Linked DNA regions of Saccharomyces cerevisiae S288C. Changing the gene in region 2 together with the main gene of any one other region gives a genetic interaction. Each region holds a gene or a part of one and is shown on either strand. Other genes may lie near its edges.

Region 1 (3,548 bases), on a different chromosome or scaffold from region 2:
CTCAGCAGATCGGTAGTATTCTTTACGTTCGATCTATCAACCAGCAGAGGGTTTTTAGCAATCAGTTCCTTGATTCTTCCTTGAATATATTCGTTGGCATCCATAATATGCTGATGTTTCAAATCAATCCAGTCAGGATCATACAAATCTACCAATTTTGAAACCTTTTCCTCTTGCTCACCAGCTTCATTCTCGGCAGAATAATGATATATATCTTTTTGTGTGTCCACATTAGCTACCAGGTCATAAGCCATTGCTTGATAGCTAAAATCATGTAATATTGGCGCAAAAGGGTCCAGTGTTCTATCGGTGATTATTAGAATGGAACGCGGTCTTTCAGTGTTTTGAGGAGGGAAATCTGGATTATTGCGAGCGTATGTATCTATCGCTATTTGGAAAGCGTTTGCAATAGACCTTGTTAAAGAATTTGCGTTGACTACGGCGTTTCCATTGCGGGCATCTTCCTCTTCCACAGGATTAGATACAGAATATCTAACAATCGGATATTCCCCCGTAATAACACACAAACTAACTAGTGAGCCTACAATCTTCCTCACGTTAGTAGGAATCAAAGCCTTACAGTTGTTGTTGAAAAAAACCTGTAATGAGTGTTCCATTTGTAAAGTTTCGAAGAATTGAGATTCTTTGACGAAAAACCCTAGTTCGATCGGCTTAAATGACTCCAAATTTTGAGCAATGTAACGTTTTGATTGAAAAAACTGAAATATAGGGTTTGTTAATCCTGGTAAAAATCTGATGTGACATCTTCTGTACTTAGGTGGTCTTACCATGAAGTCAGCATCGATACAATTGATGTTATATTTCGTTGGTTCCAATATGTAAATTGCCTCGATGGAGGATTGTCCTTTTCTTGTTGGGGAATCAATCAAATCAACAGATGTGACATTATTTAAAAGTTCTTGGGGTGTGAGGAAAAGATAACTCAATATTGTCTCCACAGTTTTATCGATAATAAGAAACTTCAAGTTATTTTTCGTCTCAATCTGATTCAAAACCCCTATCAAATAGTTCCTCTGTAATTCAATTAAATCAGACATCGTTCCGCCAAACCAAGCATGTGCACACTCTTCTACTTTGTCAGTGGATTCTAATTATTTTCAAGGTCTTACAAAGCAATGTCTTACTAGTTTCAATAGGGACTTAAACTGATCGTTTAAGCAAAAGAAAAACACCGTGCTGTGTGACCATCTACCAATAATTGCGAGAACATAAGACGACGCCGCCATTCACCTCTCTATCACTTACACCATGTTATAGGGATAAGTGTGTAGTCGATCGGCTATTCGATGATTTTTAAAGAGTGCCTGTAATAATAGCTGTATCGCAAGTAAGGAATACAAGATTACTGATATTTTGATCCAGGAGGATGGACATGTTAGATAGAAAAACTAAGAGGGCTACTACATCCGGTTTAGTATTCTGTTATTGGGAATGCTTTTCCCAAGACGCAAGCAAGAGGTGACACATAAACATAGTTTTCTTATTGTATCGTTACATATTCTTATTTTACGCTGCTGTCATTAAATATGGCACTTATCTCAGATACATTTCTTTTAATCAGCGAAAAAAATGGCGAGGTGAAAAAAATCGATGAGATGAAAAAATTTTTTACTAGTAAAGGCGTATTGATGATATATTAGCAGCTAAAGTATAGCAAGGTTTGTCAATTTGAAGCAGTCCGCGTGTTTTACAATGAGCGTCATTCATCCTTTGCAGAATTTACTCACCTCTCGTGATGGCTCATTAGTTTTCGCCATCATTAAGAATTGTATCTTAAGCTTCAAATATCAATCGCCAAATCATTGGGAATTTGCTGGAAAATGGTCTGATGATTTCGACAAAATTCAAGAATCGAGAAACACCACTGCTAAGGAGCAACAAGGACAATCCAGCGAAAACGAAAACGAGAACAAAAAATTGAAAAGTAATAAAGGCGATTCCATTAAAAGGACAGCAGCCAAGGTACCATCTCCAGGTCTTGGCGCCCCACCGATATATTCGTACATAAGAAATCTGAGATTAACTTCGGATGAATCAAGACTAATTGCGTGCGCAGATTCTGACAAGTCCCTCCTAGTTTTCGATGTCGACAAAACTTCCAAAAATGTCTTAAAGTTGAGAAAAAGGTTCTGCTTCTCAAAGAGACCGAATGCTATTTCTATAGCCGAAGATGATACTACAGTCATAATAGCTGACAAATTTGGTGATGTATATTCTATTGATATTAATTCTATCCCGGAAGAAAAGTTTACTCAAGAACCTATTCTCGGTCATGTCTCTATGTTGACTGATGTACACTTGATTAAAGACTCTGACGGTCATCAATTCATAATTACAAGTGATAGAGATGAGCATATTAAAATTTCGCATTATCCCCAATGTTTCATTGTGGACAAATGGCTCTTTGGTCATAAGCATTTTGTTTCTTCCATATGCTGTGGCAAAGACTATTTATTATTAAGTGCAGGTGGTGACGATAAAATCTTCGCTTGGGATTGGAAAACTGGTAAGAACTTGTCTACCTTCGATTATAATAGTTTGATTAAACCTTATTTGAATGATCAGCATTTAGCACCACCAAGATTTCAAAATGAAAATAATGATATTATTGAATTTGCAGTTAGTAAAATTATAAAGTCAAAGAACCTACCGTTTGTTGCGTTTTTCGTCGAAGCTACAAAATGCATAATAATTCTGGAAATGTCCGAAAAACAAAAAGGGGATCTTGCACTAAAGCAAATTATAACTTTTCCATATAATGTTATCTCATTATCCGCCCATAATGATGAATTCCAAGTCACCCTAGATAATAAGGAATCATCTGGTGTGCAAAAAAATTTTGCCAAATTCATTGAATATAACTTAAATGAGAATAGTTTTGTCGTGAATAATGAAAAATCAAACGAATTTGACAGTGCCATCATACAATCAGTACAAGGGGATTCTAACTTGGTGACCAAGAAAGAAGAAATTTACCCGTTATACAATGTTTCCTCGTTAAGAAAACATGGAGAACATTACTCGTGAAATAAAAAGGTAGTAAGTACATCTTTATAACTAATATAAAAAAAGATACGTACCGATTTGTGTTAATAATCATTGTTAGTACATCTTTATACCTCTGTTTCTAGCTGAAGGCGGCGAATTGAATAGCAGTTCTTTTTAAATTGGCAGATACAATAGGATTAATCTCATTGATACATTTTTGTAGTCTATTTGTGTCGTTCTGGAAACAGTTTTGTAAGCACGCCCTTAATGTGGCCTCGGTGTCCTTTTCAAGTAAAGGACCCATAACCTTCTGAAAGAATTCCAAATCCACTATAATTTGTAATGAGCCATCATTAGAAAGATTACCAACATAAGGCTTAAATGCCTCAAAGAGGTATCTGGCTATAAAAATCTGCGTTTCAATTAAAATCTTATGGATGAGCTGAGGCCCAATTCTAAAGCACTCACTGTGAACCACGATCAGAATCATTAACGCTTCTATAATATAGTCACCAACCCTGAATGAATTTGATGTATAC
Region 2 (13,140 bases):
ACATACCTATGAAAAAAGGACATGAACTCGCAGAAGAATCTACGACATTGAGAAATGCCGTATTCGTCGGTGCCCCAGTGTTCCATAGAGAACTGCGCATAATCCCTTAAAATGTCTAATCTTTCCGTACTTGTCTTGTCTAGATACTGCTGCGACTCAACCTCTTCAAAAATCCATGGTTTGATCAGGGCCCCTCGAGCAACCATAACACTATCAATATTTTCATTTCCGTTCAAATAGCGGTACCAGTCTTCAAAATTGTTGACATCACCATTTCCGACAAATTGAATTCTGTTCTTGGAATCCCTGCCTTCTTTGCCTTGTTCGGTTTCGATGAAATCCGCTTCGGCGGATCTCAAGGTGTCAGCCACTTGACTCACGTAGTCCCAATCCGCAGACTTAGTGTACCTTTGTTGCCTAGACCTACCGTGTAAGGTAATCGCAGCCACATCAGTTTCGTTAACCAGTCTTTTGACTAACCCTTCCGCGATAGGATGACCTTCCTTTGTACCTGTTCTGATCTTCACCGTGATAGGAATATCTTTCGATACGTAGTTCATCGCGTTTAAACAACGAATCATTCTTGCAGGGTTATCCAGCAGGGCGCTACCAGAACCTTGTCTGTATAGCAAATCGATGGGGCAGCCAGAGTTTAAGTTGATTTCACTTATTTCACTGACGGAGTTTGCGAGTGCTTCTGCAGCCTTTGCCGCCTGCCAGGCTTTAGAACAGGCCACTTGAACCCCGAACCCGGGGAACTCTGATGTGTGAGCTTTAGGTAACGCCCACTCAGAATTAGTTCCTTGAATTAAGGGAACTGCCAAGGCCATTTCCGAATATGTCACATCTGCACCTAACTTTCTCATTAGACGACGGTATGGTAAATTGCCTACGGTTGTCAATGGCGACACGATTTTTTTGTGGTACAAATCCAGTGGCTTTTTTTCTTGAGCAAAATAACGAGTGTCCTTGTACTTCAAGTATACTTCACGCTGTTTCATTCTATGTTCTGACAATTCTTTGTTCCTCTGTTCGACTTGGGGGGCAACTGGTTGTTCCACATCTGGGTCTTGTTTCTTCAGCTGTGGCGTTGACTCAACTTCTTCTTCTGGCTTCATGGAATCTCTACATTCTTGTTGGAAAGAGTCGATGATTTCCAATATTTCATTACTTTTTGTGAAAGGAAATCTTCTTTTTATAAGATCGAGTTTTCTTTCCGGTGAGATATGGTTTACCTCACCTTTAACGGACCATATTGTTTGCGCATCTGGATCAATCTCCTTCTTCGATATTAGGATATTATCTTCTTTATTCAGATGAGACGATAAAAATCTGCATTTGAATCCCATGGGGCAAAATCCCAACGAGTTGAAGACCGGACAGGAAGGAAATATATTACTTTCAACTTCAGGCTTTTTTGTTGAAAGGTACAGATTGATATCGTGAACAAACCTACAGTTATCACCAAAGGAGCATTTAGATATATCGCCATGGATCAAGCGTGGGCACAAGACATTCTGTTCCTTGACCTGCCTGTTATCTCTATTCTTGTTTTGCCCACGCTTCTTACCTCTTCCGTTCTTATTTTTCTTATTAGTCCCACCTGCAAACTCGTTTGTCATTCTGTCGGAAGACATCTCTTCATCATAGATGGCGACCTTCTGGTTTTCATTCTGCTTCAATGGTACAATATATTCTGGTTTGATATGTGCAATACCTTTGGACGGGGAAGTGTCTTGTCTCTTCACGGTTGAGTTGTCGTCGCCAACAATAGAGCGTTTTTCAGCGTTTTGCTCCATCAATAATGTTTAGAAGTTGCCTTTTTTTCCTATTCTGAGTTCATTAATGTTTCATTACTGCTCATCTCATCACTACACATTCGAACTAAATTCTTCATAACTTTAACTAGATCTTATGAAACTTTTCAAAAATGGTGCACGGGCTTTCTGTATATTGAACTTTCCGTCGCTTTTCGGAGCTACAATTCCCCTACCCGGCTTGTCGGCATTAAGTCTCTTCATCCCGTGTACTATTACCCGACAGGTTTCTGCGGCATGTTCTGTGGAACGACGGTACGGGCGGTGACTGGGTGCCAAACAGTGCGGCGTTCCCGTGCGCAAGGTGGTCTGCGGTAGGAAAAAGAAACAAAACGCGCCTACGTCGTGCAAGGGGACAGGATTTTGTCAGTTACATAATAAGGAGCAATTTCGAATCAATTGAAATTTGGAACAAATGGGCGATGCATTCGTTAAAAGGCGATTTTGTATCAAATAACGTCACTATCAGCCATTGTCACTTGCCACTGTCGCCTGCCACCGCTATTGCCATTATCATTTGCTTTCGCATCGTCACCGATTTAAAGCTCTCTAGGCTAACGTACGCATTTTACCTCCCAGGCCCTATCTCTTTTCTACCTGTCATCCCTATATAACGTCTTGTACATTCTAGTGGCTCCGTTAACAAGGTTTGACAAATATTACAATCAAAGAAGGATAGCGCTAGTCAATCTAATCATTAAGTTCGCTTATAAAGAGAAGGAAAGCTAGATTTTTTTTCTACTTCAATTACATATCGGTGCTTCTCTCTGGTGGTTTTCTGTTTTTCTAATATTGATCGATTTTACGGTGAGTTAAACTACTTCCTTTTATCGCAATATCATATTTAGAGCGAGAAAGCAAGAAGAATAAAGCTAGGAGAAAAAAGCGCCACGATACATTCATACTAAGTTTATAATATACCGGTCGTCTTTTGGCTTTCTGATACCATATTATATCCTCGAAACACTTTCTCTGGATTCACCTACTATTAATCACCTCAAGATTTCACTTGTAAGGCGTTTTCAAATTTATTGTTATTAAAAGACATATTCATATTCAGTATTTTTATTTTTCTTCGAAACAGGAAAAGCTTATCTGAGTATGGATTTTACAACAATGACTATGGCAAGCAATATGGCTACTAGTACTACTACGACGGCTACATCGGCACATGCATCTATAAATTCGTCATCAAACTTTAATATTGATATTGATTCGAACCAGAATACTCCTTCCATTTTGATAAATAACAATTCGGATTCTTCTAATGGAAAAAACACAGATTTTAACGGCGTCAATAATATTCACCAAAAAAATATCATGAATAATACAAATAATGTTCATTTGTACTCTCCAAATATAATGGACCAAACGCTACTAACTCCACAGGACATTGCCAAGTTACGGAGAGAATCAATAGCCCATTCTCAAGGGATGGGTGGTGTTTCATGGGGATCCATTAGTGTTGGTTCTTGGTTAAGAGATGAAATTATTAGCCGTAGAAATAGTATTGTACCTGCATCAGCAAACGGTGCTGCCTCCGCTGCCGCTTCTGCAACCACTACTGCCACTAATACTTTGCAGATTCAACAACCAACTAAGAGACCCTCTGTTAGTAATCCGCCTTACCATAGAGGGTATTCTATTTCTCCTCAGATAGCCTACACTGCTTATCTGCCAAATCTAGAAAAGCAATATTGTAAAGATTATTCATGCTGTGGTCTTTCCTTACCAGGTTTGCATGATTTGCTGAGACATTACGAAGAAGCTCATATATCCACGTCTCCTAACACTACCAATATGTCACAAATACCGATGAACTCTGCTGGTAACACTAGTTCATCAGTTCGTATGACAAATAATACCTCTTCTGCCAACTATAACCTGCAGAATAACATGGCCGCTAATACAAAAAATGCAGGTCATAAGACTAATACTATGCAGGCTCATAGCAGCAATGCAACTAATAACACCTCCATTAATAATATGCATGCCAATCTTCAGAGCAACATGGATTCCAACTCCACAATACGACAATCTCAGCATCCTCACCATCAGCAGAATATAATACAACAACAGTTGCAATCGAATTCTGTAAATCATACATCAGGGGCTGTACCCACACCGAGTGTAATGGGTTCAGCAACTGCGTCGTCCACAACTGCAAATCCAAATGTGATATCTATAACGGGTGCCCCCAACTCGGGCTTATCTATGGCTAATCACTCTCAACAACTACATCTGAATGGTAATCTAGTCGATGCCGTTTCAACGAATGATGTGTTTTTAAGAACGAGCAATTCTCCATCAAGACACGTTCCGCACAATAAACAAATTAACAGTAACAATAATAGTGGTATCAATATCAATAATAATACCTCACACAATTCTAATATTAACATGGGTAGTAAAAACGCCATGGTGAATCGTCCACATACTTTTAATAACTATTCCTTGAACAAAACGTCCAGGAATCCTATTCAACATCAATCAAGAAAAATTGATCCTCATCAAACCGATTTATCACCTCTGGTACTTGTCCAAGATATAGATTTAAGTTTTATGGATGATGATATTTTGGGCCCTAGTAACCACAATTCCATGAACTCTGTCGTAAATCCAACTACAGGTTCTCACAACTACAATACTTTTCATTCTTCCGTACACGCAAAATCTTCTCAAAACATGGTCGAGGATCAAGACATTGATGACATTGATGATGACGATGATGTTGATGATGACGATGACGATGACGATGACGATGACACAGAAAATGGCTCCAGTTCCAATGGAAAATCAGTTCATAACAACAATTACAAGATGCCTCAGCAAGCTTATATAGACGATCCTGCGAGAAGGCTCTATGTAATGGATCATGAGGAACAAAAACCCTTTAAGTGTCCAGTTATTGGTTGTGAAAAGACTTATAAAAACCAAAACGGTTTGAAGTACCATAGGTTGCACGGACATCAGAATCAAAAATTACATGAAAACCCTGACGGTACATTTAGCGTAATAGATCCAGATTCGACAGATTCTTTTGGTGATGGAATGGGCTCTGCAAAGGATAAACCATACCGTTGTGAAGTTTGTGGTAAGAGATATAAGAACTTGAACGGTTTAAAATATCACAGGGGCCACTCCACTCACTAAGATATAATTGTTTCTTTACTGAATTGATTTAGTATGCTATTTAGATACTAATTCTACCGTTACCGACTCATGCATCGAGCGGCCGCTCTTTCTCTTGTTGTTGGGCGCAATTTATGTGATCATCTTTGAACGAAAATGCATGATAAAGCTGTGCTCTTCGACTGTTACCATTAATTTCAAAAAATAAAAAGCATATCTATTATTGAAAAATGAACTTATAATAGAATAACATTTTCTTGTTTTGTCATCATTTCCTCTAAATACTCCGTCATGAAAACGATTTGCGCTCTGTCTGGTCTCTCCTTTTAGTATTATTGTTGTGTGTTTTTTACTATTCATTTTTTACTACTGTGTTTTTACTATATATATTTTGGCTTTACTTACTTCCTTCTGTTCTGATGTATTAAAAACTATTTTTATTCTAAGAAAAGAAACTTTAATTCTTCTTATTCATGCTCTAAATCTTAAATAAAAGGTTCCGTTTTTTATCTGCAATTCTGTGTATTTGTAAGTGAATTACCATGCACGTTGTCGGATCGTTTTTCTAGGCAGAAACTATCTTATTGAACCATTAAAAGATTACTTAAATATTACAATTAATCTTACGAAGCATATTAATTAGACTGGAATTACAGCGCAACTATCACAGGTTAATAATTGGTTGAGAAAATATTATAGTTTTGTTAGTAATGTTGAACTTTTATTTTATACACTTATGAAAGTAAATTAATTCAATATCAATAATAATATACTATAAGTAACTTAAAAAGCAACCTTCCTCCCAAACCTACAATCCAATCACGCTGATAAGTATTATCTAGAAAGTTGACAACACCAAGCCATATGGTCAAGAAACATTTATTGAGAGTTATTTTGTAAATAAGACTTTTCGTCATCCATATAAAGCAACCTAATTGTTCATCTAATACTAGAGTCGCTCTTTTGAAAGTTAAGTATAACTACCTCATCATTAGTTGCTACTATGTGTATAATTTGAAAATCTCAACGTAAGGTTATTAAAAATATAAATGCGCGTAAGACAGAAAAATAGAGACAGCTTACGGCAAATTATCAAAATGTGAATCCAAGGTTTCAAGAAAATAAGATAAAGTGAATAGGAAGGATGAAAATCAATGTATCCCGTCCATTACAGTTTTTACAATGGAGTTCATATATTGTTGTTGCATTTCTGATACAATTGCTAATCATTCTTCCTTTATCGATCTTAATATATCACGATTTTTACCTAAGACTATTACCTGCCGATTCCTCTAACGTAGTCCCCCTTAATACGTTCAACATTTTAAATGGCGTACAATTTGGTACAAAATTCTTCCAATCTATTAAAAGCATTCCGGTAGGTACAGATCTGCCGCAAACAATAGACAATGGCTTATCACAGTTAATCCCCATGCGTGACAACATGGAATACAAGCTCGATCTAAACCTACAGCTTTATTGCCAGAGCAAAACTGACCATTTAAATTTAGACAATTTGTTAATTGATGTTTACAGAGGTCCAGGCCCGCTATTGGGTGCTCCTGGAGGAAGTAACAGCAAAGATGAAAAAATCTTTCACACTTCTAGACCTATTGTCTGCCTCGCACTGACGGATTCCATGTCGCCTCAGGAGATCGAACAACTAGGCCCATCACGTCTAGACGTTTACGATGAAGAATGGCTAAATACAATAAGAATAGAGGACAAAATATCGTTAGAGTCTTCATATGAAACAATCTCGGTGTTCTTGAAAACGGAGATTGCCCAAAGAAATCTAATAATACATCCAGAAAGTGGGATTAAGTTTAGGATGAATTTTGAGCAGGGATTAAGAAACTTGATGCTTCGAAAAAGATTTTTATCTTATATTATTGGCATTTCAATTTTCCATTGCATAATATGTGTACTTTTTTTTATCACAGGTTGCACTGCATTCATTTTTGTTAGAAAGGGTCAGGAAAAATCCAAGAAACATAGCTGATAGAATTGTACTTCTCGCTATATAATTTTAAAACCTAGCTGTTATTTTCTAAGTAAGTAGGCTCTTCCAGCATTCTGCTTCTTCGCCCTGAATAAAAAAAAGATGATCAGCGAAAAAACTCAAAATGAAAATAAGAGATGGATTCTTCAAAGTTATAATTCATATGCAGAATAAAGATTCTAAAGAAAATGCACACAATGCATATTCCATCCGGTGATGTTCTGATACCGAAGCCGAAGCTTATTACTGAAGAAACAGATCCACTGCATATAATAAAGACGAGGCAAAAGACACATGGTCGGCCCGTGACCATTGCAGGCCCAATGGTTCGGTATTCCAAGTTACCATTCCGTCAGTTGTGCCGAGAATATAACGTTGATATAGTTTACTCCCCCATGATTTTGGCAAGAGAATATGTCCGTAATGAGCATGCAAGAATCTCAGACCTTTCTACAAATAATGAGGACACCCCGCTAATCGTCCAAGTAGGTGTAAATAACGTGGCTGATTTACTAAAATTTGTGGAAATGGTTGCCCCATACTGTGATGGTATTGGTATTAACTGTGGTTGTCCTATAAAGGAACAAATCCGAGAGGGCATAGGTTGCGCTCTGATATACAATTCAGATTTGTTATGCAGTATGGTCCATGCTGTGAAAGATAAGTATGGCGACAAACTAAGAATTGAAACGAAAATAAGAATACATGAGGCATTGGACGAGACGGTGGAGTTATGTAGAAAGCTATGTGATGCTGGGGTAGATTGGATTACGATTCATGGCCGAACACGTAGAACTAGGTCATCGCAGCCGGCTAACCTGGATGCGATAAAATATATCATCGAGAACATCAGCGACAAAAATGTGCCTGTAATAGCGAATGGGGATTGTTTTAAGTTATCCGATTTGGAAAGAATCACCAAATACACTGGTGCACATGGTGTCATGGCTGTGCGTGGGTTGTTAAGCAATCCAGCGTTATTTGCTGGATATACTACCTGCCCTTGGGGCTGCATTGAGAAGTTTTGTTATTGGGCTCTAGAGTTTGGTGGCTTGCCTTTTCAATTGGCTCAGCACCATCTGTACTGTATGCTTGAAAATATGGAGTTGAAGAAATCTCTGTTAAAGAAAATGATGAATCTTAAAAATTACATTAGTCTGATCGACTGGTTTAATAAAACCTTTGAGTTCAAGCGTTACGGCGAGGATGGATTTGGCATGGGCGTTGAAATTCCTTATAAAGCTAATAGCTGTGTGCAGAGGAGCGCCTCAGTGGTTGAGAGACAAGAATGAATAAATTTTGAATTACAAAAATCTAATAAACTGTGGTACTGAAATTGTATATATTTTCCTATCATTCAAGAGCGTATACTCGTACCCCGAAAGCAGCTCTGTTTGTGTAATAATATAACCTAAAAGAAATAAAATGCTTATAAGATGGACATTATTTTTTTTTTTTTACAATTTAAGCATCTTCTTCAACGACAACGGTTTGTAGACCCTTAGCAGAGGCAACCAAAACTGGTTCGACGTAGGAAAACAATGGGTTCTTGGCATCTTCTTCTTCGTTTCTCTTTCTGGAGATTCTCAATCTCAATCTGTATTCAACACCCTTAACACCTCTTTTCCAGATAGCTTGGTTCAATTCTGGGGCTAGACGGACATCTTCAGTACCCATGTGTAATTTGGCGAATTTCTTGATTTCCTTCACAGCTCTTGGAGCTCTCTTTTTGAAACTGACACCATGTAGCTATATTAATATCAATTCAAGATTGGTCTGTTAGTAAAAAAAAAGTTGTTATAAGAAGGTGGAACTAAAGCATCACGCCAAAAACATCGGCCCAAGCGCCATTATAGTGTAAACGTGAGGTACGGATATCGATCGCAGAACACAGAGAAATGCAGTACCGAAGAAGAACCTTCCAGTCCTTGCATCACGCATTCCATATAATAACCTCTAATATTCCGAATTAAAACCTGGGGTCAATCATTGGAAAATGAAATTTCACCCGTATAGATTTCGCTTGGTATTTCACCACAATATCGCTTGTTGGCTTTCAATAATTTCCCACGTAAAGACAACGCTAATTTCGACATACTCTTTTGTGCAAGTTGATGGTGTATTCACGAGTGACAACGTCTTTTAAACCGGCCATTTTCAAGTACTTTGGATTATCTGCTCGTGCAATTGAAATATACTAAGACCCAAGACTATGTAAAACTAAGGAACCTATCAACAATGAGACTGGTCAAATAATAGAGTAAACATGTACATGAAGCACTACCATCAGAAAGAGCTTACAAGGTTACGAAACAACGTCAGTGCCCTCTGTCGCATTACCCTCGGTTTCGCGCCCTTCCAGTTGGCATTTGAAGTGCCAATCCAATTGTGAGCACATCCAACTAGCGTGCCCTTGCAATCCCAGAGGACACCATACAACTTCCAGCCTAGTAGTGAACTTACCAGGCGAGGAGCGCGGGCGCCAGAGGGCAGCTCATCTGCGTTCCGGCTCTAACGAGAAGGGCGGAAATGGCACCATCACCTGAAAAAGAACGTAATCTAGGCTGAGCCGCGCCTTTAAGTTTTTGTCGCATCTGGCTGCGCTTCATTTAAACGGCACTCCTAAAAAATTGTATGAGGTGATTTTTTTTGTGTACAGATGTACGGATGTACGGATGTACGGATGTATACTATGTAATAATGCACGGATGTAGAGAAACAGAAACGAGGATAATAAAATCGGTTTTTGTATCATCTGGCGGCGATATGGCGCAAGGCTTTAAGTAAACGTCCTATATGGTACTAACGGGGTTTTATTCCGAATCAAAAGAAAAAGAGATACGAAGTCTCTCTTAGTAAAAAAGTCTTTATGGAAGATTATCGATAATTCGATAATTCTACCGACAACAGTGGTTTTGTTTGGCTCAGCAAACGTGCAGCACCATGATCTTGGTAGATTTCTTCTTTACCCTCACCTTCCCCACACCATGTTTGCTTGCTACCCGTGTGTAATGCTATCAGCGCGCGTTTCTTTTTTTTTCTTGCTAACATTTTTCAACTTTAAAATGAAACGATGCATGAGTGATAGAGGCATTGAACTTTAGTAAACAATAGAAATAACCATCGGAGTTATTATTTTTTTCTGCTTATTCTTTGGTCGCAAAAAAGTGTGTTGTATAATTCTTTGGAATATTTATAAAAACAGGGAATACTCTAACAACAAACGCTAGTGCTTAGCTACTCTTCCGCTGGTACTTCAATATAGCTTGTCACATATTTTTGTCCATTAAGGTCGTTAAAACCCGAATAATTTTGTACGATCAGTTTAGTAAAAGAAATACAGTATTCAAAAGCTAACGGTTTATTATGACTGTTTCTACTTCCAAGACCCCAAAAAAGAATATTAAGTATACCTTAACACATACTTTACAAAAATGGAAAGAAACTTTAAAGAAAATTACCCACGAAACGTTGAGTAGTATCGATGACTCTAGTGGAAGCGATGAAAAAATAGAGGCTCTGTTTACTGTGTCTCAGCCTGCCGTCGTAGCCTCCAAGGGTATAGACAGAGATAGTGGTGCTTCTATGTCGCAGGTAGGAGGAGGTGTCAATAGTACATTGGAGATGAAGCTCACAGATGAGAGTGAGGAATCTAGCTCTGCTAATAACACGACCACAACCGCCTCGCATACTCTATCGAATTCGAAGAAGTCTACGCAGAACTTTGAAAACTATAACGTAGTGGAGGAACGCATAAAATTAGCACAGAAAAGTAAGGCGCCGTTTTGTAACGCTGAGAAAATCTGGAAACGAAGAAGACAACTCTGGACACAACCCACTGAGCAAAGTGAAAGCGCCAATAATGACGGAGTTACTCGAAGGGAGATTTTCCAAGCTATACCTCAGGAATATTATGCTCGAGTTTACAAGAAACTGGTGGTAGATGATAAGCCATTGAGAGAGCCTCTAAATCTGGAAGATGCTTTACAAGTCATAAATGCAGGCTGGACGGAAACGAGAAAGTGGGCTAATGCTGCCAAGGGCATGCCATGACTGAGTGTCGACGTCCTTTTTGTTTTGCCTTATAGCATCTTTTCCTTTCTTCAAATTTGCATTACACAACTTTAACTCAGTTAAAGAACTTCGTCATTTACTTATTCTTCTTTTTTTTCTTACCCTTCTTTCTCAAATCTTATTTCTGTATAAAATACGTATTGATTCATTCCATTAATAATAACATATAATAATAGTACTAATTTAAAAACATTGAATATATTTATCGTTTTATTTCGAGTTGCGATTCTTTTCTATCAGTTGGTACGTCATTTCAAGGATTCGGAGATCCCTATCCACAAGCTCTGCTTCCTTTTGTAATGCTTCGGTATGCCCCATATACGGAGTGTACTTTTCCAACATATAGTTAATAGGAGAAACACACTTATTTTTAAATGAGTCGTCATGAAGTCGCAATAACTTCTTCAACTGTACATTTAAAATATATGATTGATTATTTTCAATTTCTTGCAAAGTCTTCGAGGCTTCTGTTCTATGCGGAGAGTTGATTATTTTGTCGAGTAATCGGTCAAGTTCTTCAGACCTGTTTGGCATTTTTACGATTATCCAGTTCACACACATTGAGAATGTAAGGAACATTTATTTATTGTCGATCATTTATTAAATGTGGGAGGGACCCTTTAAGAACACTGCAACAAACCCAATAAATAATTCTTGGTTACCCTCTCAAAAAACATCATAGGAAAAAGAAAAATATACAATCTGCCTTTGTTACTAATATACTTGTTCTATATAATGCTCACGCGGTGGTCACAAAAGCTGCCACTCCCATGCAAAACTTCACAAGATCATCTAATCTGTCTTCCTTCTTATGTACATCCTCCCAATTTTGAAGAGCAGAGGCAATATCTTGATTCTTGTTGTTAGCATGAATAACATCACCGTGTGCCTTAAACAGTAAGCTCATAAACGTTTCATAAAGTTCGAAATTTTTATTGCTCTTCAACCCCTGTGTTAACGCGTCGATAAACCACACAATTTCATCAAATGGCTCAAAGGAATTCAATGATCTTATCTCCAAATCCACTGCAGCAGGTGAGAAATTTATTAGAGTGGCCAGCAATGATGAATAGTCCTTGGATTGTGAGCCCTCTCGTAATTGCTTTGTGAAATGTGATTCAAACCCTAATCTTCCTGTAACTTTGAATTTATTCATTTGCTCTTCTGCATCTAACTTCTTTTGTGCTTCTTGATCTCTGCGATGGATTTCTTCTGGTGTTTCATGTGCTATGCCTTCTCTGACAGAGGCTTCATCCCCAACCTTTTCCCCAGATAGTTGCAAGAAAAATGGAAGCTTTTCTGATTTCTTTGGAGCTTCCTTTGGCTTAGAACGTTTTCTGATAACATCTAAATGAAGCAATGTGTTCATTTTACTTCTAGGTCCTATTGATAAAGTCAACAGCTCCTTATCAATCTGTTCCAATGATGTATAAGTGTTGAAATCAATATCATTTAGGTCTTCTCCTCCATTGCTTTCTAAAGCCCCTGATAACATCGAGTCGTTCCCTCGAACAGATGTGCTAGGTAACGCCATTCTTGCAAATTCAGACTCATCGATGGTTCTTGTCGATACTGTCTTAAATTGTGCTCTGTTCGTCCAGATGCATATACCATTACCAGTAACATGGGTAGTGGCAAGCAAGTCACCATTCGGAGAAAACTTTACATTCGTAGCGACATTATCTACTATGATACCATCGATACATCCTCCGGTTGGAAGATCCCACGTTCTAATGGTGGAATCTAGAGAAGCGGAAACAATCCAACGGCCCTCAGGTGAGAAATCAAATGCAGTTATTCTATTACTATGACCCCATAATTGACGAACAACTCTTTGAGTAACTGCGTCAATAACAACAATTGATAAGTCGTCTAAAGCCAATGCAAATAGATCGGAAGAACGATGATAAACCATTGCGGTAATAGGTGCATCCAATTTCAATTTTCCCAACAAGGTTGACTTGTTAAAGTCATAAAAACCAACAATACCGTCTAGTCCACAAGAAACCATTTTACGATTCATACCATCTAAGGATATACCGGTGACTGCTCTTTTGTGCAATTTGTATTTTTTACGGAGTATACCACTTTGCATATTATAGATGGTGATAGAGC

The links.
Region 1: mutations in DUS4 (region 2) and TRM82 impair growth when combined (synthetic growth defect), as found in Saccharomyces cerevisiae (one study listed by BioGRID).

What each region holds. Positions count from the first base shown.
Region 1 is NC_001136.10:783,158-786,705, forward strand, and holds TRM82 (Trm82p), read left to right. Parts: upstream 1-1,713; coding exon 1,714-3,048; downstream 3,049-3,548. Other genes in the region: SEC1 (Sec1p), read right to left, coding at 1-1,058; exocyst subunit SEC5, read right to left, coding at 3,149-3,548. UniProt on the Saccharomyces cerevisiae protein: Required for the formation of N(7)-methylguanine at position 46 (m7G46) in tRNA, a modification required to maintain stability of tRNAs; its absence resulting in tRNA decay.
Region 2 is NC_001144.5:922,650-935,789, forward strand, and holds DUS4 (tRNA dihydrouridine synthase), read left to right. Parts: upstream 1-7,139; coding exon 7,140-8,243; downstream 8,244-13,140. Other genes in the region: tRNA dihydrouridine synthase DUS3, read right to left, coding at 1-1,799; zinc-coordinating transcription factor SFP1, read left to right, coding at 2,919-4,970; SEI1 (seipin), read left to right, coding at 6,094-6,951; 60S ribosomal protein eL31 RPL31B, read right to left, coding at 8,416-8,700, 9,050-9,106; YLR406C-A (uncharacterized protein), read right to left, coding at 9,557-9,706; GAG1 (Gag1p), read left to right, coding at 10,318-11,004; BLS1 (Bls1p), read right to left, coding at 11,236-11,604; rRNA-processing protein UTP21, read right to left, coding at 11,765-13,140. UniProt on the Saccharomyces cerevisiae protein: Catalyzes the synthesis of dihydrouridine, a modified base found in the D-loop of most tRNAs. Specifically modifies U20a and U20b in cytoplasmic tRNAs. Also able to mediate dihydrouridylation of some mRNAs, thereby affecting their translation.